3 linked regions of the Lepisosteus oculatus genome follow. Each later gene encodes a partner of the first gene's protein in a complex. Links are inferred from orthologs where the notes say so. Each region holds a gene or a part of one and is shown on either strand. Other genes may lie near its edges.

Region 1 (7,118 bases):
TTTGCATCTCATGCAGCAGGAAAAGCACTGAACAATAAAAACTTCCATAGATTATTTCAATTGTTTTTAACCGCATCAGACAACTGAACCCACAACCCTGCTTTCTACAGTCATTTTTTTGTGATTAGCCCCAGTACCTGATATACCAGGCTGTGTTTTTAAGACACTGTAACATTTTCTATTCACGTACAATGACAACCGCAAGGACACATTTCCCACCCTTACAAATAGCTGACCTTATGTGTTGATCAAGTGTCACAACTTGGAAAGAAAGCGGCAAGTCTGCCACCTAGTGGACACGGACAATGTTGACAAAAGCAGCGCTCTTCTCAGCGTGAAGAAGCTGTAGAAAAGCGAAGAGTTCAGTGTGGGGCAGACTTCCAGTGATGGCGGCATCAGACAAGGTAGCACTCTCTATTCTTAAGTGAAATTATTGAGTTATAGCTCCCTTTGTACTTCTGATACTTGTATCAGAAGTACAAAGTTGGGTGATGAAATATTTCTACATACAAAAAACAACATGGACAAAAAAAAGGTAAATACAGACTTTAATATGGACATCACTGAAGCAAATATGCAATTTGTTCATCCACAGCTTAAAGGTTAATTTTGTTATTTGCAGTTTCCCCTCTGTTACGCCAGGGGGATAGCGAACCGAGACCCAAACCTGTCTTGACCTGCTCACACTGAATACTAATGTGCAGAAGCTGCCCACTGTATCCAGACTCCTTCAAACAAAACAGAGATCTACACCATTGGTGGCACTGAGCCAGTCCCCAGTTACATGCTTTCTGTGACCCCAACCCAGCTCACAAAGTCATAGTGATGTCTGCGCTGCAGTCTACCAGCTCGCTGTGCTCATCTCCGCAGGCCGGCACTCCATAAGTTCAAAACACGGTATCTCACAAACAACACACGCTACGTTCAAATCACGCGGAATCGTGATAGAGGCGGTTTCTGGCAGCGGTAAGTGAAATCATGCCTTGCCAGCTGTAAGGTTTCCTCAGCTTTACCTGAGTAAGACGACAGCCAACGGCAACCCTGAGGTGCTGGGAGCTGCTGTGTCTGTATGGCAGGCTGCACACACCCTGCGGCACCTGGGAGGTGACCTGCAAAACAAGGCCGTCTGGCCCATCGGGCTCCTGGGCTCGAAGCCTTTCCAGTGCCAGCCTGCGGCCGGGTCGAGAGCCCGCGGGTCCCGCGCCTCTGCCGGGAGCCCACGCGAGGCCGATGGCGCTGACCTGTGCCTCCAGCCAGCGGGGCGGGAGTGCTTGGAGAGGGCCAGGCTCTTGGCGGTACGGTCCTTCGCGGGCGCGGGAGAGGCAGACGGAAGGCCGGGCTGGCAGTCAGTGTCGCCCTCTCAGTCAGTGTGGCGCTGACGTGAGTGCCTGTCGCCTCTGCCCTCCAAACTCTTTTGTGGCCCCTGGCAGCTGGAGCCCACCTGTGGTGGGGGCCGGGCCTTCTGATATGACTGGTACTGAGTCCAAATTTCCCACTGCTGCTTGGCTTCCGTCTTACCCGCCCTTTGACCTTTGACCTGAACTGGCCAGGTGGGGTGGTAGAGCAGGAGAAGAACCTACAAGGAGAGACAAGGGCCTGTTTCATCAGCAGCTCACCGTCGCTTTCTCCCAGAAACGACACAGCCCCCACGCATGTCACATTGCAATGAGCCCCCCTGCCACACAGGTGGAGAGGTATTTATGACACGAGAGCGTCTAGGGTCTGGTGGCCGGCCCTGGGCATCAAGCCGTGACAGGAGCTCATGCAGAAGTCTGGTATTCACCCAGAGTTGAGAAGGTTAGTCTTAAAAAGATAACCCATTCCAAAGGCAAGTCAATTCTGCTTTTTAAAATTAACAAGATAGTGGAAGAGAAAAACTTTAAGATGTTGTCAGAGTCATCTATGAAGTGTGTGTACAGTTACTCTGCAAGCCAATCCATTCTTTCTTAAAAGCAATCTTCCTTCCTTTAACTTCTTAATTGAAAAAGTTATCCCTTTCTGAAGTACCTTATACAGTGTCTGAAACTGTCTCACTGACGTCTGGGACACTTCCTTTACGTTTAGGGTATCCTTACGTTGTAAGGCTCTGTATTCATTAATACAATCCTGTAAATTCTTCATAAATATTTATCATGATATGGCTATGTAGTCAGTTTTAGTACAACTTTTCTTTCGACTTCATTTGTGTCAGATTTTTTTTTTCACCGCTGGGTTGCGACCGGCGAACTTGAGAACTGACACGGACACAAAATCAGAATATTTTAGGGTCCAATGCTGTCGGAGCAAAAAATGCCGGATGGACGCCGCGTCTTGAAGAGTTTGCATTCCGTTACAGCAGTAACCATCCGGTCAGCACAGGGCAGTGTCACAGAAACCGCTGTGGCTACATAGAGAACTGTAACACACTCGGGTTATGCGCTGGGAACTTCAGGAACAACATCATAGTTAAGACTTTTCTAATGAAGTTTGAGGTTTCCGTGCCAATCTTACTACCGCCTCCTGCTGGATTCATACTTTTTATTTTATACAGGCCTGCTGTTCCTTCTTGCATTAATACAGACCGGGTCATCTTTACAGGCTCCTTGTAGAACTGCGTTCACAGCAGTCGGAGGTCTGTAAGCGTGTTAACCCGGTAGACAGTACAACGAGGACAGAAGACAACGTGAGGGAGTGCAATTAAAAACGGAAAAGACACAAGTTTTACAATCTAAAAGGGAGGATTCGTTCGCATTCCGCTGTTACATACAATGCAGCACCAGGACCGGCGCTACTTCCAGCTGACTGACTTTCTGCAGCTCGGTGTTTGCATCTCAGCGAACCGTCGGGCTGAAGCTAGACCCACCGGAACCCTCCGCTCGAACCCCGCCATCTTCGCACGGTGGGGCTCCCGTTTTTCCAGCCTGATTGGTGCAAAATGGAGTAGAGAGAACCTGCGCCCCCAGTCACAGCTACATCGCCTTTACTGCCATCTGTTGACACGATATTGAATTTACGCTCGTCCAGCAGTCAAGATAAATATATTCAATTTAAACGTTTTTATTTAACAATTTCGCGTATCCTCGATGTGTAAAACGAGGACAACATGCCAGCTATTTTGCTGTGCTGTTATTTAAACAAGTAGGGAAAAAAGTCAGGTTCCACCGAGATTTGAACTCGGATCGCTGGATTCAGAGTCCAGAGTGCTAACCATTACACCATGGAACCTCCTGTACGTAAACCCCCTTGCATGAGCCTAAAACAAGCTGGGCAATGACACCGTCGTTAATTCGTCGTTTTATCTGCCACATCTAGCAATGCACACACCAACGAGATTTACAAAGCACTCAGTAAATACCACTAAACGTTTATAAAGTTGAATCGTTTCAGTACGTATTCGTACGGGAGTATTAGACGTACATGATGCGGACCTGGCAATCTCAGAGAGCTGAATTCACTACATGTCTTCCCTGGCAGCAGATACATACAGTTGCATTAAGGTGCGCGTGTCACATTTGCAGGATGCAAAAACCTGTGTGTGCGTGTTCCTTTAATCAGGAGACACAATCAACGAAGAGATGGTAAACGGGATAGTACGAAATCTCGGGAACGCGGACCGTACCGCACTATCGAAGAGGCACACGCGCCCGGCAGCATTACGTCATAGACTCCAAGGAAACGCTGCGCTCATTTCGTTTAGACGCCTTTGTAGGTTTCAGTAAACCGGACCTGTATCAGAAGGACGTTTAAAGATCGTGGCCCAGAGAGGAGTGACTGCACATACCACCCACCTTTGGAACAGATATGCAATATTTAAGAAACAAATGTTGATCAATGGTGACCCCGCTGTGACCCCGGAAGTGCAGACTTCTTGACTCTTGCAGGTCTCGGGTGGTAATTTGGCTGGAGTGGGCAACACGGTGCGGCTGCCATCCCGTATTTTCATTCTCACTTGGCTCGATTTATTCTGGAATCAAGATGGGAACCCGAGACGACGAATATGACTATTTGTTCAAAGGTAAAGGGAGTGCTACAAAACATCGTTTTCTCTCATTCCGTAATGGTTGATGTTAGCCTGCGCGTTAGTAACATTAGCTGCACTGATCGCACACGGTAAGTGCTCGGCACTGGCTTCATCGGGCTTTTGTGAGGTACCCGAGATATCTGGTCTGCTGCTCTGTGAATAATATTACTATCCATTAAGACCGGGGGACTAATCGTCTGTGCCCGGGCTCTTTTTAGCACACGTATAGCAAAAACAGTCGCTACGGTTGAAAGTTGAGAAATCAAGGCGAAATTACGACATGTTGTTACACTACGTCCGGGGAGCAGAGTCCTAGGTTGCGGTACACCGAGAGGTACCTGAAACAACCTCTTCCCACCTGCCTCTGTCACAGCGGCTGCTGGACGGTAACCGCAGCTGGCGGCGCCATTTCACACCTTAATAATGTGCCCAGACCTGCTGCCTTCACATTGTAACGTGTAAGGAGAAATAAAAGCGTTTGAATACGCTGACAGGATGCTGAACTGCTCTGCTGCAATTAAGCTTTGATATCAGCTCCTTTATTTCTGAAACTGACACTGTTACAAGTTACTGTTTTTTTCTTTGGTGAAGGTTGAGATGTTCAAAGCGATTCGCGTAATTCGGTTTTTGTTTTACGGGGCGACCTCTGTACGTTGTTTTTTTTTTAAGATTCAAGACAGTGTCCGCCCGTCTGTACTCGTTTGTGCAATGTTAACTCGGTACGCCGCCTTAACCAAGACCATAAGACATATTGTAACTTGAGGTTGGTCGGGTTGTTCATGTACGATTGTGTATACTGTCCTTTTCTTCACTATTTACAACAAGACTCTTAAAATGCAAAGCGGCAGTCTTACTCTAGCGAGGAAGCAGAAACCGTTGCTCAATGACATTCTCTGAGAGACACGTAACAGGATTACTGGGTGTGTGTGTTTGTCCGGGACTCGCAGCGGATGAGTCAGGGACGGACATTTGACTGTCCAGGAATCCACTAGCCCAAGTGCGGAAGGAATGCGGACTCTCGGACACCCGCAGACGCTCATCGTTTAGTTTTAAAACGTTACTCACTGTCGTCACTGTGACCCCCTTTTTTGTGTGTGGGGGGGTGATTATCATTTCTTCATGCTCTCTGCCAAGTAGGCATCAATGCTTTAACAGTTTTACTTATTGTGTTTTCATCCGTTTGAAATCGAATACTCTGCCAATTGTTCGTGTTGACCTATGCCGTGGTTGTTTGTCCGAGGAGTTATTTTTGAGCTTAAGGTCTTGGAGTCAACCTCACTTGGAGGTTTGAAGTGAAGCCATTTCACGAGTCTTCCATCACCATAAATTGCAACAGTAGAATGACAACGATCTGTGTGTTTCCCCCCAATTTTTACTTAAGTCTTCACCTCCTCTGATATTTAACTGAAATATCAAGAATGAATTTCGCAACTTCTATATTCGATTAACCTGAGGGTGTAGAGTCTGTTGAAGAAACACAGGCAGCAGGCGGATACAGGCATCTCCCTGTTGATCACCTGCGTTCCACTGTAATGTGTCTTACAGTGATCCTGTGAGCCGGAGCTCGGTGACAACACAGACCTTCTGGAACCTGATAGGCAGTAAGTCCTGATCGTAATGGACAAATCCTAGATTCTTAAAAGAAAAACAACAAGAAACAGGAGAAAGGGGTTGCGGATGGGTTGATGTTTCCACAGCTTCGGAACAAAGGGGTTTATTCATTGTCAGGAAGTATTGCATTGCTCTGTGGAATGCTGTAGCCTGCAGGCTTTGTGTGCTTCAGTGCATCCACCCTGCTACTCAGGCATGAGAATCGCAAGCCATTGCAAACACAGATGCCGTTTGAAATAAGCTTGCATACAAACCCAAATCACTGTAGCATGCACATGTTCTTAGAAAACGTTCGGGGCCTCCGCAAGTCAGCTTTGGCTACTCCACAGGTCTGGCAGAGTCAACAACGGGTCCAAAGGGCTGCTCAGCTAAGTTGCAGCCAGGTCCCAGACTGGAGTGCACTCCCTGCAATTTTAGTCTGTCCCACATGCTGTACCTGCGTGTTTACTCTGAATGTGCACACCCTTCACTTCTGTTTAGCAGCTCTTAACTGCTGTTCACTAAGGTTTAGGTATTCACTTGCAGGACAGTAATAGTGTGTGTTTTAGCCTTGTGGAGTTACTGTACAACTGAAAGGTACTCTACCACTTGCTGAGATTGCTATTTGCTCTTACAGGTGTACTGAGGTTCTTATAGTGCAGTAAAAGCACTAGTGTGCATTTACAGTATCTAGGCTCTTTGTTTAGCAGAATTAAACAGGGCTGAGTTTAGTCTATTTACAGCTGTATCTGTACAACTTTAGAACAATACACAAAGGACTGTCACAGTGTGTTACTATCAGCAGCAGCTGAACTGCTGGGGTTTTATTCAATAGTGCAGTTTATATCGGGAAAGGGAAGTTGACACAAGGGAGCTCCTTGTTCTAGGTGTGTTTTTTGAAATTGCAACTTATGGTTCTTGGGCGCCACAAACAAACACAGCTCAGGCTCTGTCATGGATCCATCCATTGTAAGAAAGAAGCTTACAAGTCCTTGTAAAAGTCATTCAGGAAGCTGGGGCAGCCAGAAAGGACTGCATCCTGGCTGGGACATCAGTCCCCCGCAGGGCTCGTGCACAGGGCCTGTTTATCAACACTAGTTAACTTGGCCAACACATCTCTAGAGGGGAGGGGATACTACCCCCCCAAAGAGAGCCCATGTGGATAATCTGAGAACATGCAAACTCCACACAGATGGACCAGATCCGGGACCCCATGAGCTCTGAGACAGGAGTGCTGACTGCCACCCCATCCTGCCCAATTTCATTCAGTGTTTTTCAATTTAAAATTATTTTTATTGTTGTTCACATGGTGGGGATTACAAAGGTAATCAATGAACACAGCCAAGCATTTAGGTTTTGTTCTGATTTAGTAGGCTTAAGGTTTTAATCAAGCTTGCTAACCATGAAAAGGGGCTTAAGGAGGCATCTTCTAGAAATACAGGGAACATAGTCTGCTAGCCTTGCTAAATAATCTAGTCTACTTAATACTAAGGGATTTTAGCCTTCTACCTGGTAGAAACACTGCTAC
Region 2 (7,495 bases), about 2.8 Mb from region 1:
TAAGCCTGGCACCCTCACAAGGCCAGTTGAACTGAAAATGGAGGAATGGATGACGAGCAGCAGAAATATGCGTTGCAACTCGTACTTGCAGTAGCCCGACGACAATCAGAAGCCGACACGACCAGACTCCCTCTGATGGCTGATAACGCAAACCGGTCTGTCTTGAGAGGATAGAGTCCCAAGACGTGGGGATGTGTTTACCGCTTGGGAGGCGAGAGTCTTTTTGGCAGTTAAGCTATTTTTGTATTTTCCTTCCTTAGAAAGTAGAAACTAAACGGTCAATAATATAAACGCATGATGTATTTGCATCGATACCCCAGTCATTAGTAATGCTGGAGAAACAATTGAAATATACCCGTTTTCGATTAACTGCATGGGTCCTCTTTATTCTGACTATAACATTTTTTCCTGACGTCAATTTGATGGATTTTAGCGTTTACTGAAGAAAGAGGTGCAATAGATAACTTAAAGAGATCGCTATATTGTTGGTCAAGAGGCATCAAGAAACTCATTGAACGATATTTTGATTTTTAATTTGACTAAAATAATGTAATTGTTTTGCAGTTATCAACTGGGTACGGATCAGTTAAACTCTCCCCAATTCTCCCCAATAACAGAAGATACACTCCTTTCGGTTATTGTTTTATTAAATTAATCTGTCAAGCATCTAACAATGAAAACATAACTTTAAAACGTTTAGTTAAATTAATTGCATAGTCTCAAGTTGCTGTACTCACATCCTTATCGTGTCTTGGACAGAATTAAAGTTTCTTTTTAATTAAGATTGACTAAGGCTATTACTCTTAAGAAGTCTAGACAGTACAATGGTTGTCAACGGAAAGGACATTATTATTCATATGGAATATTAAACTATAGTTCTGCTAACTAAACTTTTTATCAAGAAAATTAGCTTCATATTGGAAGACACAGATTTAATAGTAGTTCCCTGCTGCGGATATATCCCTATTACAACGTTAAAAAACCATGGTCTAGTTCTCACGTTCTCATTTACATTTCTACCCTAGTTTTTCGTGACATACTCAGATGCCTTTCAAATTTATACCACTCAGTATGTGCATTGTTTGGAAAATGAATGTTGATTACAGCTTCTTTCGAAACCTGATTTACGCCACCGACGGACGCTCTATTTATTTCAACATTTGACAGAACTGTGTTAAAAATGAAGCACCGCCGCTGGGAGGCAGCCGTCGCTCGGATTACATCAGATTCATGGTTAGCAACGGGTTTTCGCTGAATGATTTCATTCATCATACCCAGAATGCACAGAGAGACACTAAAATAGCAAGATTTTCAGGTATCATGGCGTTTGCTACCTCTGCTTGAGCCGTCTCCCCGTTTGCTGGAAAGGATTTACAAAGAACAAGAGAGCAACGCCAGTGAAGCGAGTCCGACAAATTAAGCGCACCACTGATGTTCTGCTGACCAGGATTAGACCAACGCTGGATAGACCGTCATGGCAGCGTCCGAGCTGTACACAAAGGTAATGCTGGATTTTGTATTCCGCTTGACGGTGCGGCGTTCAGATTGCAGCTGCAGCTTTTGCATGTTACTGTTTCCCAGCAGCCGTCCCGTGTTTTGGGATGCGCGTCTGAGTTAAGATTGTATTTCCCGTTCTGTGATGTTGTCCCCCCCCCCACAGAAAAAGAGCAAACCAGCTGCCGGTGGAGCAGACGATTGAACAATGGCCAGGCAGGCAGGAATGAATGAATGACATCTTTTGATTTTTGGTTCTCCGCAGTTTAATGTACCACTGAATTGCGTGTGTGCGATGTGGCGCTGAAACGAGACTTTTGGTGCTACAGTGCTGCTGCTGCAGGACACCGTTTTTTATTCCTTTAAAAAAAAAATCAGTGTCTTACGAATGCTTGTCTGATTCACCCGAGGGCAGTTAAATTAACCGGTACTTGCACAGCTCTGTCCTTCAAATGTGCTCAGAGACGTTAAATTCTACCATATTCTCGGAATTATTTTTTCAAGTCAAGGGGAGAATGGATGTAATTATTGTTTTTTTTTCAGAGTATAGCTATTTTCCTATAAATTAGATTGAGCACATTTAATGCTTATGCGTAACTGTGGAGTGTCAGGGGGCGATGGTTGCAGAAAATACTGCTGATGGAAAATCAAGTGCTACTAACGAACCTCCTTTAGAATTTAACATTCTTTAAGGATATGGACGAGTAACAGTCCGGAATAAGGCTGTTTTTTCGAGGGCTGCATCTTCAGCCCGGTGTTTACTGTGTGTGCGAGTCGGACTGTGAAGTTGAACGAAGAACGCAGGATAGGTACGGCTGTGATGCTGAGCCAGGCCATTTCCATCAGTGACGATGCACTGTGGCGCAAGGTGCCCCAGCCACCTTGCCTTAACGCTGTGCAAACCGCTGCCTCTTTTTGTGCTGTGAAATCAGCACAAGGCAACCCGGTAATGGATGAGCTGTTGATTGGATTCACTGTACACCGTTGACAGATTCATCTCCATAGAATGCAGTTGATTGAAACTGGATTTATTAGACCGTAATTATTACTGTACATTCTCTGTGTAGAGGCGCGCTATTATGTTGTTACACGATATAAATACATGCTAATGTACAGTTCCGTTATTATTTTTGCTTGAAAAACACAGTCAGATCATAACCCATTAACTAATTAAGCACCTTGGAGAGCAGCTTTGTTAGTCCTGGTTCAGGCTGCTGGCCCAGAGGAGTAGTGGCAACATCACAGTCCATGGACTGGAGTCTAATGAACTGCATGCCCTCAGTCCTGCATTGCTGATCAAATTGGCCTTATCACTACTCTATGCAATATATTGAAGTGTAAGGTCAACAGAATTTATTTTCTTATCTAAAAAATAGATTACTTTTAATAGTGTGACTGGAACTATAGGAATCGCATGCTATGAATATGAGCATGGTTTATAGACTAGGTTTTATGAAAAAGTATTTTTTCTTCATCTGTGCATATTTTTATTAGGCCATATTCACAGCACATCCTGTAATCTAAGCAGTGGCAGGAAGGAGAAAAGCATAACTTTAAGTTTAGTAATTGCAGTATTCCAGGGCAGAATAAATAGTCCATTTGTCTTAAGCCAGCGTGTGAGAACTTCATTAGCTTTGTAAACATCTCTAAGGGTTTCACAGCTGACAGACACAGGAATGTTCAGGCATACTTTAGTCATCAGTGTTTGCCTGTGCTTGTACCAAGCTTGCATTCAGCTGTCCACATCTGCCTTTGTGTAACCTGTGTGTTACAAAAAAAGTTAATTGGTTTTTGCAAAGAAAATGCTCAGAATGTTCTTGTTCTTAGAACAAGTTATAGCAAGATTGAGGCAGATTCATGAAATCGAATTATTTTGTCCATCTCTTGAAGCAGAAACAGAAACGAAATGCGCCAAACAAAACACATTCTTGGCTGTTCACGCAAAATAAAAGCATGGTTGCATTAGGCATGGTGGTAGCGAAGATGGGACTGATACCGAGGTCCTTGCGATTTGTTTAATCTTGCTGTCTGCAGTCCCTTCCCTGAGGAAATGATGTAATAGCAATGCAGTGCTCTGTTTGGTCTAGAAGTGTAATGAGCCTCTTACCAAACCTTGAGTTCCTAACCACAAAGAGGCAGTGAGCACAGATGATGTAAGGCTCAGGCAGAGCCAGCAGCTCATGGACTTGGCCTACGCCTTCACTGGCACAGCAGCTCCTGATAGGGATGCATGGCTACAGATTTCTACAGTTTCTGCACCTTCGAAACTAGGGCGTACCAGTGCATGCAGATTGCACAAGATGGGCTCATTTCTCACTTCTTCTCACCTTCTCCCTCAAATAAGGAATGCACCTGGTTTAACGTAATGTATTTAAAAAATGAAAAATGCCAACAAAAAAGGTTAATGCAGAAATAAACACAAATGTATGACAAGGAAGTTGTGGTCTAGTCATTGAAACAGATGATTTTAGCCATACATACACATGCTTTAAATAGAGTAATTCTGCAGTATGCAATATTGTTCTCTCTTTATTCAGCATGTCTTTAACAGAGTGCTTTGCTGCTGTGTGACTTTGCTGGTTCTCCACTGAAATATTGCAACGTCAGTTCAGTACTATGCCTTTGAATGTATTTATGCACGGAATGTTCAGCAGAACTTTATTTGATTGTATGCCCAAGTCCTGTGTCCCCTAACATATTATTTTTCCGTAATTGGTCCAGCTTTCAAATTAATAGAAATGTGTGGGTTTCCAAGCTTAGGAAGAAAAGCAGTTTCTGTGCTCTGCATTAACTCCTTGCCTTGGAGGCAATTGGTGATCCACTATCTTGTAGACCATGAATTGTCATAAGACCAGCTGTGTTCATAATTGTCTTACTACGTAGCCCATTCGAAAACACTCTCCCCTTTGTGCTCTAAATGGGAAAATAAAATGCCATTGAAAGATAACTGAGTACACATCATAGCAATCAGAAATTCGCCACTCGTACTGGGCTGTGTCTGTGCTCTGGAGGGCTGTGGAAGTGTCCTTCAGCTCCTAGTCTCACTGGTGATAAGTCCAGCAGTGTGGAATATCAAGATTCTTGTAGCTACAGTAGAAGCCCGTAAACACTTGTAGCTGCAATGGAAAGCCTTCATCAAGTGTGACTTCAACCAATCCATTTTCTCTGTGCTGGCTGCATTTCATGTCTCAACAAAGTTATTAAGCTCGTCAGTAAATAGTGCTTTCAAAGAGCTTGAAGATGAACCAGGAGTTGGATTTTATGTACGTAAAAGTAAGTACCTCCATATCTTGCTTTGTTTGTTGTTCATACATGTGAAGGTAAGCAAAGGAGCTTTTGGTGTGCTTCAGATAGGCAACTGGACATGCCTTTATCATTTCCTGAATTATCTGATTGGGTCTCCAGAGAAATAATTTTGACTTATGATATTTTGGGTACAGAACCTTGGACGTATCACAAATGATCAGATGAGTTATTTTAGGAGGAATTGCTAGTGTTTGCTACTGTCAAACCAGCTGTGGGTTTGACTGTTTTCCCATTTTTAATCATTTGAATTTTCTCTGAGAGTGTACTTTGTATTTTTGATAGCGAGAAGGCAGTATCCTTAACATTGCAGTGTTGTCTTAGGATTAAACAAAATCTCACACTACAGAAGAGTGTTACACCCTACAACTCTGAAGACACCAGGACACATAGCATGCAATGAGTAAAGTGATACCTGAAGTGAGAATTATTACAGAAAGCAAAATAGTTCAAGAACCCTGAAACATGTTGTCTGAAAAGGACTGAAAACGCTAGATGTGCTTTACTGTGTCAGTCCTCTGTTATAATTGCTGTGTGTTAGCAATTGTCACTCCTTAGAATACATCCAGAAAATAAGACCCATTTCTCATGCATGATTATTCTTTTGATAACATTAATAATGGGTGGTACGTGATGCAGCATTGACGCTTTGCAGGGCTGAGCTCTGGGTTCAGATCCTGGGGTGTTCTCTGCACGGAGTTTGTATATTCTTCTTTTGGTCGTGTGGGTTTCCTTCAGGTGCTCTGGCTTCCTTCCACAGTCCAAAGACATACTGTTAGGTCAATTAACATCAGGGAAAGCTGGCCCTGGTGTGTGTTTGTGTTTGTATCTGTGCCCTGAAATGGACGTGTGTCCTGTTCAGGGTGCTGCGTTGTTCCTGTTGCTTGCTATAGGATAGGCTGCATTTTTGGCTTACTGTGATCCTGTAATGGATAATTGGTTAAGAAAATGGTTGGATTTGTAATCATTTTAATTTCCTAACCATGTGTCTGTAATGCATGGGGCAGTCACAGTTACCTGCAGTAGATAAGCAAAGTTGCTGATACTTCTCCTTTTGCTTCTGGGAGCAGGGCTTCACAGATTGAGACAAATACCATGATAACTGGATGGCCAGCCTTCTTTTCTTCCAGCCCCTCATGACGCAGGTGACAGTGGGACCCCTTCTGTTCTTCATTCCATAGCGTTTCCGAGGAGCATCCTCAAACAAGACAGTGTTAACTGTAGAGAGCTACTTAGAACTCACAGTAGATATCTGTGGTAACAGATTCATTTAATAGCAAAAAGGACTGTGGAAAAGAAATCTCAATAGTAAAAGCACAGGAATATATTTACTCCTATTGCCTCTTGTGATGATTTCAGTCCTTCCAGATTAGAGAGGTATGACAAAAGTAGAAGTACTTTGATGCTGTACTATGGAAAGCCTGTCAGTAATGACTTAAAGGGGAGTACAGATTTTATAAATGGGTGATTGTGGGTTTTTTTTGTACTACGGCTGGTGAGAAGTCCTTATAACACAAAACAGAGGAACCATATAGCACAAAACAGGAGGGACCATCCAGAAGACTGGATGTCTTGGGCAATCCAGAAAAGCAGCAGATTCTCACATGAACTTCTGTCATGTGATGAGCTGTTTTGAGTTCATGTTAGATTAGCAGTGGCTCCTTCAGATTTTTGTGTAGTCATGCATAGCCTGAGACTCAGTTACTGCATTGTGATGATTATATCTGCAACTCAGCATTTTAACAGCTATAAGTGGCAGACAGCAAATAGCAGAACTAGACCTATGTGATGATCAGAAAAGGCAGGGGTGCAACGCTGAAAAACTAGTGAGAATATAAATATTATATTAAATATTCTACATATAAGCCTTTTCAATTAATCTGTAGCTCATGTGCTTTCATATATACAGTAGGGGTTTGCATATTTAAGACCACCTTGAAGCAGTTTGTTAAACTTTAACTGCAGTTATGATTCACAGTTAAAAGTATTTTACTTGTGGGAGAGGAAGGTGTATCCAGTTTGCAACACCCTAAGGGTACACTAATTAAATATTTCTGTTACCCATTTTTCAACAGCAGTTGTGAAGCTCTTTGCTGTATATTTCTCAAGACTCCCAAATATGCTGTGATATATTTATGCCATAATGAAAAGAGGTCAAGTTTAAGAACTGTGGTCTCTGTATTTGCAAATAAATATTTTCCAGTGTTCCAAACAAAAGAAGAAATCAAGGTTTGACATTTGAAGTTACGCTTGTTGACGTAGAAGGTTAACTCTCAATCTCCATTTGGCTGAGTACACTTGGAAACACTAGGGACCCAAATGAATTCAGCAACTGCATAACCCTTTATTTTATGCAAAGGAACACAAATGGTTTATTTCATTGCTGAAAAGAAAATAGACTCGGTGTTTGGACTGTGGAGCCTTCTTCAGCCTCCTGAAGAAGGCTCCAGAGTCCAAACGTTGAGTCTCTTTTCTTCTCAGCATGGAATAAAACGTTTAGCTGTTCCTTTGCAGCCTATGCATGCTGACACAGCTACCAACTTGAACTTCTTTCATTTTATGGTTGACTGAAATGTTCACACAGTATTCTAGGGATAGTAGTTTCTAGGCTGATATTTAAAATTACTGGGACATTATGCAAATATCTTCCTGTTAAAATCCTCTTGTAATTTCTTTATTTCACTGATGTAATCATAAG
Region 3 (7,046 bases), on another chromosome or scaffold:
CCTGCCACTAGAGAGCAGAAAGTCCCGTTTTCACGAGTTTATGTTTAAGTGTGAGTGTTTGTGTGTGGTGAAGTCCGTTGCTAGCATAAAATATCCCTCCTGGGTGTTTTTCTTTCCACTGTGGTTTTCTTTCCAATGTCCAGAGGCCTGTTATAATCTCCTAACAGACTCGGTGCCTGACAAACCCAGGTATGTTCTACTTCGTGTGTGCAGACTCAGATGGCTAAAAGTCCTGCCAGCTTCCTGGGGATCAGAGGCTTTTGCCCTCCAGTTGTGTGATAATAATGTAAGCAGTATCTTTTCAACTCACTTACTGTACCATTATTTCTCACTAAACAGCCCTTTGAAGGTGATCAAGTTCTGATAGACAAGGGTGGGAATGTCACTGTAGTAGACAGTTCCTGCAATGAGGTTTTATACCATCGGCAGAAACTCATTTGGTCCCAATCAGGCAATATACAGTAAGTGAATGAAGGCAGTTCTGAAACTCAAAATTTGGTACTGATCACAAATAGTGCGACTCAACAGACACATTCATTTTCGATATACCTGCCATCTTGTAGTTCTGAATTTTGCTGTCTGATGTCTGATGAACAAATACTAGAGTTGGGAACTGTTGAGTTGAGGCATTTGGATATTACATACTTTAGTCACACAACAAAAAATCAGCATGCACAGGACGTCATGTGTTGCACATTTGTAAGCAATCCCACTATAACCCTGAATATATTGTATAATAATTAAGCTTGCTAAAGAAAAGGCATAATTTTGTTGAAAATAAACCAAAACTTAACATGACATTGTGAAGACAGTATACAGTTACCGAGTCTCCTCTTGGACTTTTTGAAAATTTTTCAGACGTAGCATCTTTAATTCTTTGCCTTTGTTTATAAGGCCCCATTTCCTTTTATAGTCTTCTGCTTAAAATTATCAGAGAAAATGAACAGGGTTTTGTGCTTGAAGGAAAAGCTCAGTGTTAAGCTGTTTTTCCTAAAACAGAGAAGAGCTCAGCCTTGTTTGTATTAGACCACAAATTCTAATCCTTAATTAAATGTTCAACACAAGTAGTGTAAACTTTTATTTTTTAATCAGCTGACAGACATGTATGGATGCAAGCTTAGAGGAAAACTTTATTATGAAAGCTGGATACTATTTTAACTGCAGTTTCTGAACTTACCATTTGTTTATTTCTTACTGGGTCAGAACAAGCTATTAAAAGAGCTGTTGTTGGTTACAATGCCTCATTGAAAACCTTCACTGCATTTGAAGAGTAATCTGACTAGCGCCCTGGGACAATATGCTTCAATCCAATTATTTTTAATGTGATTGCATGATTTTGAAAAATTATTTATTTGATTATTAATTTATTTTCCTGATATATACAGTAATTTCCAGGTAAGCTTATCATTTTCATAAAATTGTTATGGAATTGTATGGAAGGCAAAGTTTTGTTTAAAAATTTATTATTGTTGCTTTTTTTGGCAGAAAACACTAAAGCTATGCTATCACTATGTGACTGTGAGACAGAGGCACTGTATATTGTTATTAACCTTCTGTTTTATAAATGCATATGTTGACTCAGGGTTTCCTTGTGTATCTGTATCAACAAAAATAGGAAATGTTTTTCCTTGAAAAGGGAAAGGAGTAAGTATTTTTCAGTTGTGACATTTCCAATTATTTTGATGGTCCACAATAAATATATATTACATTTTGAATGGGTTCTGGTTAGCTATCACAACTGAGTGGCCTGTGACAGCAGGCTTGTGTGTTACTATTTTCAGTACAATTATTTCAGTACATATGATGTGGATCCAGGCAAATATTTTTTTCCCCAGCCTTCAGTTTCATCTCCCATTGCTTCTGTGCTCAGAAATGTGTTCTATTTTGATCCAGCCCCAGTTTTAGATAGCCAGATTAAGGGGTGGCTTTAGAATATGAATATGTCAAACCTATTATTTTAGAATTGATTTCCTGCTTTCAAAAACAAACATCTTCTGTATACAAATCTGTATTCAAATTGCCTGGGATATTTGCAGCCCTTTGCCCTGTGCGGGCTCTTCACTATTTTGATGGTTGTTTGATTTTCAGTTCTTTTGGGCAGGTATTCCAGGTGCTATCGTATCTCCCACCCCTTTCATCTGGAATCTCTTGTCTTTTGTGGACATTGTGTAAGACAAGTATGTGCGTAATACAGCCCCGCTAGTTAAGAGCTAAACCAGGCCTTACTCCATGTGTGACTGCCATAGGTCAGGGGCGATGACCAGTGTGAAAACACAACTCAGAGCTCTGAGTTCCACTATTGTGCCGGAGTGACTGACTGGCACTTAACAGACACGAGCATGAACCTGTTCTGCAGGACTTCACAGGATGAGCTGCTGAACAGGATGACTGGTGCTGAAGTGATCAAATATGAATTAAATTACATTTTTTGACTTATTTGTAGTTTTTGTTCTCTTACCCAAAATATTTATTTTTCTGTTTTGGGCTATTTCAGTCTCTATGCCTTTAAAAAACAATTGTTGAACCCAGACATAACCTTAAGCGGACAGCAAATCCGTCCGTCGAAACTTCAGTACTGTTTGCGGGAGAGTGCTTGTTTGTTCTGCTCGAGGCAGTTGAAATGTAAAAGCAAGTGTTTGGGTTTCTGTTTGGCTCAGCTGACGGGTCCTTCAGTCTGGAGGCTGGCCCGTCACACCTTGGCTGTGTCACCTCTGGCTGGCTGTAGTGAAGAGCTCTGAGGTGAGGGAGCTGACTAGAATATTCTGATTCACTTCTGACCAGCTACAGATGGTGGAGTTTGGTAGTTTTGTGAGACTGAATTGTTGACGTTGGGGCCTGTGTCAGTCAGTATTCTGGTTCGGTGTATTTTCGTGTTATAAGACAGCAGCAGTCCTTGATTTACAAAAGGCCAAGGTTAATGATGCAGAATGTTTTGCTAGATTATCTCTCCCTATGCATGGTAATATGTCACGGATGTAGGAAAGGCAAGCCGTGGAATGACAAGGAGGGCGTAGCGGTGAAAGGGGCAACACAGAGGTTAGCCCAGACTCAGGGGGTCAGATGATATCGGAAAGAAATCTATGCCCTCAGGCCACAGACAGTAGCGACCTGGTGCTAGGCGGGTCTCAGGAAATCCGTACCCTCAATGCTGAGCAAGGAGTACAGCAGACACAGGAAGTAAATAGGCTACACAACAACAACAACAACACACGGGAAAAACATGAATAATCACAGGGAACTAGGAACAAGACAGAAGTAGAGCGCCCTCTGGATGCACTGGACGTGACAGGATTGTGGTAGGGGAGTTATACTGTAACAGGCGGCACTGTTGTACTGAAAAGACACTGCATTTATGTGTTATAAGTAGTGTATGAATATTCTTGAACAAATCACGCCTTTTTCTTTTGGCTAAAACAAAAGTTACTCTTGATAACGTTACAACGTCCTATTAGCTCAATTTACATTGTAGAGCTTTTTTTCTTTTGCTTTTTCTGTACAGTAATGGTGTGCGTCTCATGGCCAGGTCGCCACTTTAAACAAAGGATTATTCTCAACTGATTTATCTGGTTAAATAAAGGAATTTCTAGGGTTAGTTTAAATCGTGTTTCTGATCGACATGCAGCAGAAAGCACGATTATGTGTGTGCAACGCATCCATAAGGGTTATTATGAAAAAAAATAGAAATATAATTTCCTCAACAATGTAATTGTATTATTTTGTAAGAGAACCAGGAGGGTAAGCGCTTTCACAAGAATGTTTTCATTCATGAATGAAAAACGGCCGTTTCCACAACTGTATGTTAATTCAGATGCGAAGGATATTTGTTTTTCTTTTTTGCTCCAGTCCATGCATCCACTTATCGCATTAATCCACATACGGGGTTCATGTGCGGAGATATTATTATTTGACGTACAGTAGTTTGAAATTTCCACCATCAAATCACAGATGCGTGTGTACCATTTGTATTACGGTTGTGACCGGGTAGCTACGCCTGTGTAAACATAGGGCGGCCGCCGGGGCGCGCATGCGCGGTTTGCAGTCGTGTTCACACGCAGAAGAGGGAGCAGGTGTGCCTAGAGCTGATCTGGCTGTGAGCTGTCTTTCTCCATCCTTGTCTCAGAGAAGTTACCTGTCTCTCAATTGACCGTCTCTTTGAAGTGGACATTTTCCTGTCTGCAGGGAATTTTCTTCATTAGCTTTCCTAAGCCATAGGTAGGTAGCTGCTGAAATCATGATCCGATCCTGGCACAGTTGTGCAGGTAGCGAGCTTCGCCTGGTGTTGTGCTGTGCGATACTCTAGCAATCAAATGTTTACAGGCAGTGTGTTTTTAAAATAAAGGGGAGAAACCACATTACATGGATTGTTTCTGGACTTTTACGCGCTCGTAGTTTTTTTTTTGTCGCATTTTGAGATTCGTATCAGACGATTAAAGCCAGGATCTGTGTAGATTCCGAAGCGAATCAACCTCAGGAAACGCTTATTTGATTTAGCCTCAAGTTATTCCACGGGCGCCCATTAAACGTCGCGAATGACCATTTTTTCGGGATTTAGTTTTCTAGCGGGTCCCTGCAAAATGATGTAATTAGGGGTGAAGATTTCAGCCTTCACACCAGCCGGTCTCGGTGGACATCCTACCTGGACATGAAACGAACTGATACATAATGCTTTGTAAGAGGATTATTTCCCTTTAGTGGGATTTTAGAAAAAGGGCCGCACGATGCATTGTTGGTTTCAATCAAAAACAGACAAAAAAAAAAACCCAACAGCAGCCAAAGGCACGAAATTTGATTGTGCGTGCTGTTGATCTCCTTTGTAACAACGAAAAGGGGCAAGGCGTTTTTTTGTGCCTTTTTTATTTTCGGTACTGCAGTTTTTAAGACCAGGGCAACAGTTTCGCCCCCGGGTAATGTGTTAGTTGACAGAACAAAAATCCCTGATTATGGAAAAAATGGGGAACGTCTCTCGTCGAAAAACTCCGATCCCTACATTGAAAAATAAAACTTGCTGTTGACGTTTAATATGTGCATAATAGAGTAAGAGCACTGGATTATCTTGCCTGTTTTATAAAATCCATAATTTAACGAACGTTTCTGTTGCGAGTCTTATTTCCGTCCTGTATTCCTCATAGTTTGGTCTGAGATCGAAGAGCTTTATTTTATGCGAAAGGAATCGTGGTTTTTCTGTCACGCCTGTACTGTATAGGTAGACACGTGCGACAAGACAGGAGGTCCAAAAAATAATTGGTTAGACACGGGGACGCAATTTCGTATTTTGTGCTTCAGCTACTGTCGCTTAAAAGAATCTGGGGATGTTGAGCCAAAATACACTATTGGAATCAAGTTTGTTTCATATTCGAAGGCAATTTGACTGTTTTAGGTGCAATATCGAGTACATTTACATTCCTGTTGCCCTAGTGTGTTGAAACCAAACGATTACTAATCCTGCATGAGATGTCTGCGATTGACGTGCTTTAGTGGACATAATATGCTGACAGAAATAGTGAGGTAGCCTAGTCAAATCGAACAAAATTGGTGACGAAAACGCTTTGTGCAGATTAAACTCCTTTCAGTAACGGCATGTCATTTGTCAATCTGATTTTTTTTTTTGCCGAGGGAATTTTGCATGGATACATTTGAGTTTAGCTTAATTCTTAATATTTTAGTCAACGTTAAATATTAGGCAGATTGCACAAGCGTCTAAACCGCAGTTAATTGCGGAAAGAGTTGGAGCAGAAATAGCCAACAAAACAGGCATTCAGAAAGCATCAGGTTTTTGCGTTTTTCCTTTTTTTCCCCCACTAGCAATGACAAGCTAGTGACAGGATAAAAACAGTGAGGCCCGTTTATAGTGTAACACTGGATACAAAGCCCTGAAATATGAGCGTGGTTAGTTGTGCAGTTAAACCAACAGAGGCAGGGGCTGTGCTAGCACTTTGTTTGTTTTAGACACAATAGGACACTCCTGAGAGGCACATTACAACGCAGAACTGTACTGTGTAAAACACCGTGCCCAAAATACTGAATTTCTCCGGTTTATATGTGTCTCGTCAGTCTCGTCATTCTCTTCAGAGTTGTTTATGGGAAAATACCGACGTTCAAATATCTGAACTATAAAGGGATATCCTTCTTGTCCCTATTTTCTTTTTTCTGCCCATTTGTGAGTGTGTCTGAATGGAATAAGTGTGGTCTGTACAAGAATTTCGTTTTCAGCTTTGGCAAAGGCACCAGGCGACACAGAATGCTTGCCAACATTTCTGCAATTTCAGGGAAAGGTGCTTGTCCTGTTCAGGACTTTACTGTTAATTTTAGAAAATGCTCACCACTCAAAGCCTCCCCGAGAATACAATCAAGAAGCCCCAGCTATGGTCTTCCAGCTAAGCTATTCTTGCTCCTTCACATGGGTTTAAGTATCGCAGGTTTAATGGTCTGCTGAACTTTTGATGACGTACTTGATCTCCCAGAACATCTCCTGCTAAATGCCCAGCGTTGTTTCTTCTTAACAAATTAGACTACTAAGCCATTTTACGAGTCGTGCAATTTCTTTATATGAAAGCCGAAGCTTTCTGAAACGTGTTGGGGGGAGGGGGGGTAGACTTTAAGACCACATCTTCGTAATTAATCATGCCCTAGCAAAGCTAACAGGAGAAACTGATCTTTTTTAATTTCATTAGCCGCCGTCTGTATCCTGACAAATGTGACCTGTCGTACGGTGCGTTTGCAGCCCTCATTTATAATTCATGGTGCCCCTGTGGTCTGAATAAGTAAGGAAGCAGCACCTCTTCCAGCTGGAGGCAATTAGGTAACACGGAGGCGGGGTGTCGGGGAGCCGCTGAAAGAGTGGGTGAAGTCAAGGGCCCATTATAGCGGCAGTGCGAGGGAAGACGAACGGCGGTAAATGGTTTCTCTCAGAAAATGAATAATTGACAGGCTGATGCTTTCGGCAGCCTCTGTTTTTGATTTATGTACCTTTTCTTCAGGAGATTTAATTTTTTTTTTGCCTTCAAGATTTAATACAGCCTGCAAATTCCTATTCTAGTTATGAAGCT

The links. The genes of interacting proteins can lie anywhere in the genome.
Region 2: the proteins of rab11a (region 1) and myo5aa are in contact, whole or in part, in a crystal structure (PDB 5JCZ), measured with the Homo sapiens proteins. The link is inferred for Lepisosteus oculatus from reciprocal best matches to the Homo sapiens genes RAB11A and MYO5A. Residues at the interface, in NP_004654.1 of Homo sapiens: Arg33, Glu35, Ile44, Gly45, Val46, Glu47, Phe48, Ala49, Thr50, Gln63, Trp65, Gln70, Tyr73, Ala75, Ile76, Ala79, Arg82; in NP_001369276.1 of Homo sapiens: Ile1660, Gln1661, Trp1738, Met1742, Arg1745, Tyr1746, Ser1749, Gln1750, Glu1753, Arg1756, Gln1777, Gln1780, Val1781, Lys1782, Lys1784, Met1795, Glu1818.
Region 3: the proteins of rab11a (region 1) and rab3ip are in contact, whole or in part, in a crystal structure (PDB 4UJ5), measured with the Homo sapiens proteins. The link is inferred for Lepisosteus oculatus from reciprocal best matches to the Homo sapiens genes RAB11A and RAB3IP. Residues at the interface, in NP_004654.1 of Homo sapiens: Phe36, Leu38, Glu39, Asp127, Leu128, Arg129, His130, Leu131, Arg132, Ala133, Pro135, Thr136, Leu156; in NP_783322.1 of Homo sapiens: Asn367, Thr368, Leu369, Ser370, Ile371, Glu372, Pro373, Asp412, Arg424, Thr428, Cys431, Asn432, Thr435, Tyr439, Leu444, Val445, Lys446, Gln447, Gln448.

What each region holds. Positions count from the first base shown.
Region 1 is NC_090700.1:47,580,541-47,587,658, forward strand, and holds the start of rab11a (ras-related protein Rab-11A), read left to right. Parts: upstream 1-4,011; 5' UTR 4,012-4,043; coding exon 4,044-4,089; intron 4,090-7,118. UniProt on the Homo sapiens protein: The small GTPases Rab are key regulators of intracellular membrane trafficking, from the formation of transport vesicles to their fusion with membranes.
Region 2 is NC_090700.1:44,823,297-44,830,791, reverse strand, and holds the start of myo5aa (unconventional myosin-Va), read left to right. Parts: upstream 1-4,478; 5' UTR 4,479-4,734; coding exon 4,735-4,767; intron 4,768-7,495. UniProt on the Homo sapiens protein: Processive actin-based motor that can move in large steps approximating the 36-nm pseudo-repeat of the actin filament. Can hydrolyze ATP in the presence of actin, which is essential for its function as a motor protein. Involved in melanosome transport.
Region 3 is NC_090702.1:23,324,079-23,331,124, reverse strand, and holds the start of rab3ip (rab-3A-interacting protein), read left to right. Parts: upstream 1-4,029; 5' UTR 4,030-4,212; intron 4,213-7,046. UniProt on the Homo sapiens protein: Guanine nucleotide exchange factor (GEF) which may activate RAB8A and RAB8B. Promotes the exchange of GDP to GTP, converting inactive GDP-bound Rab proteins into their active GTP-bound form.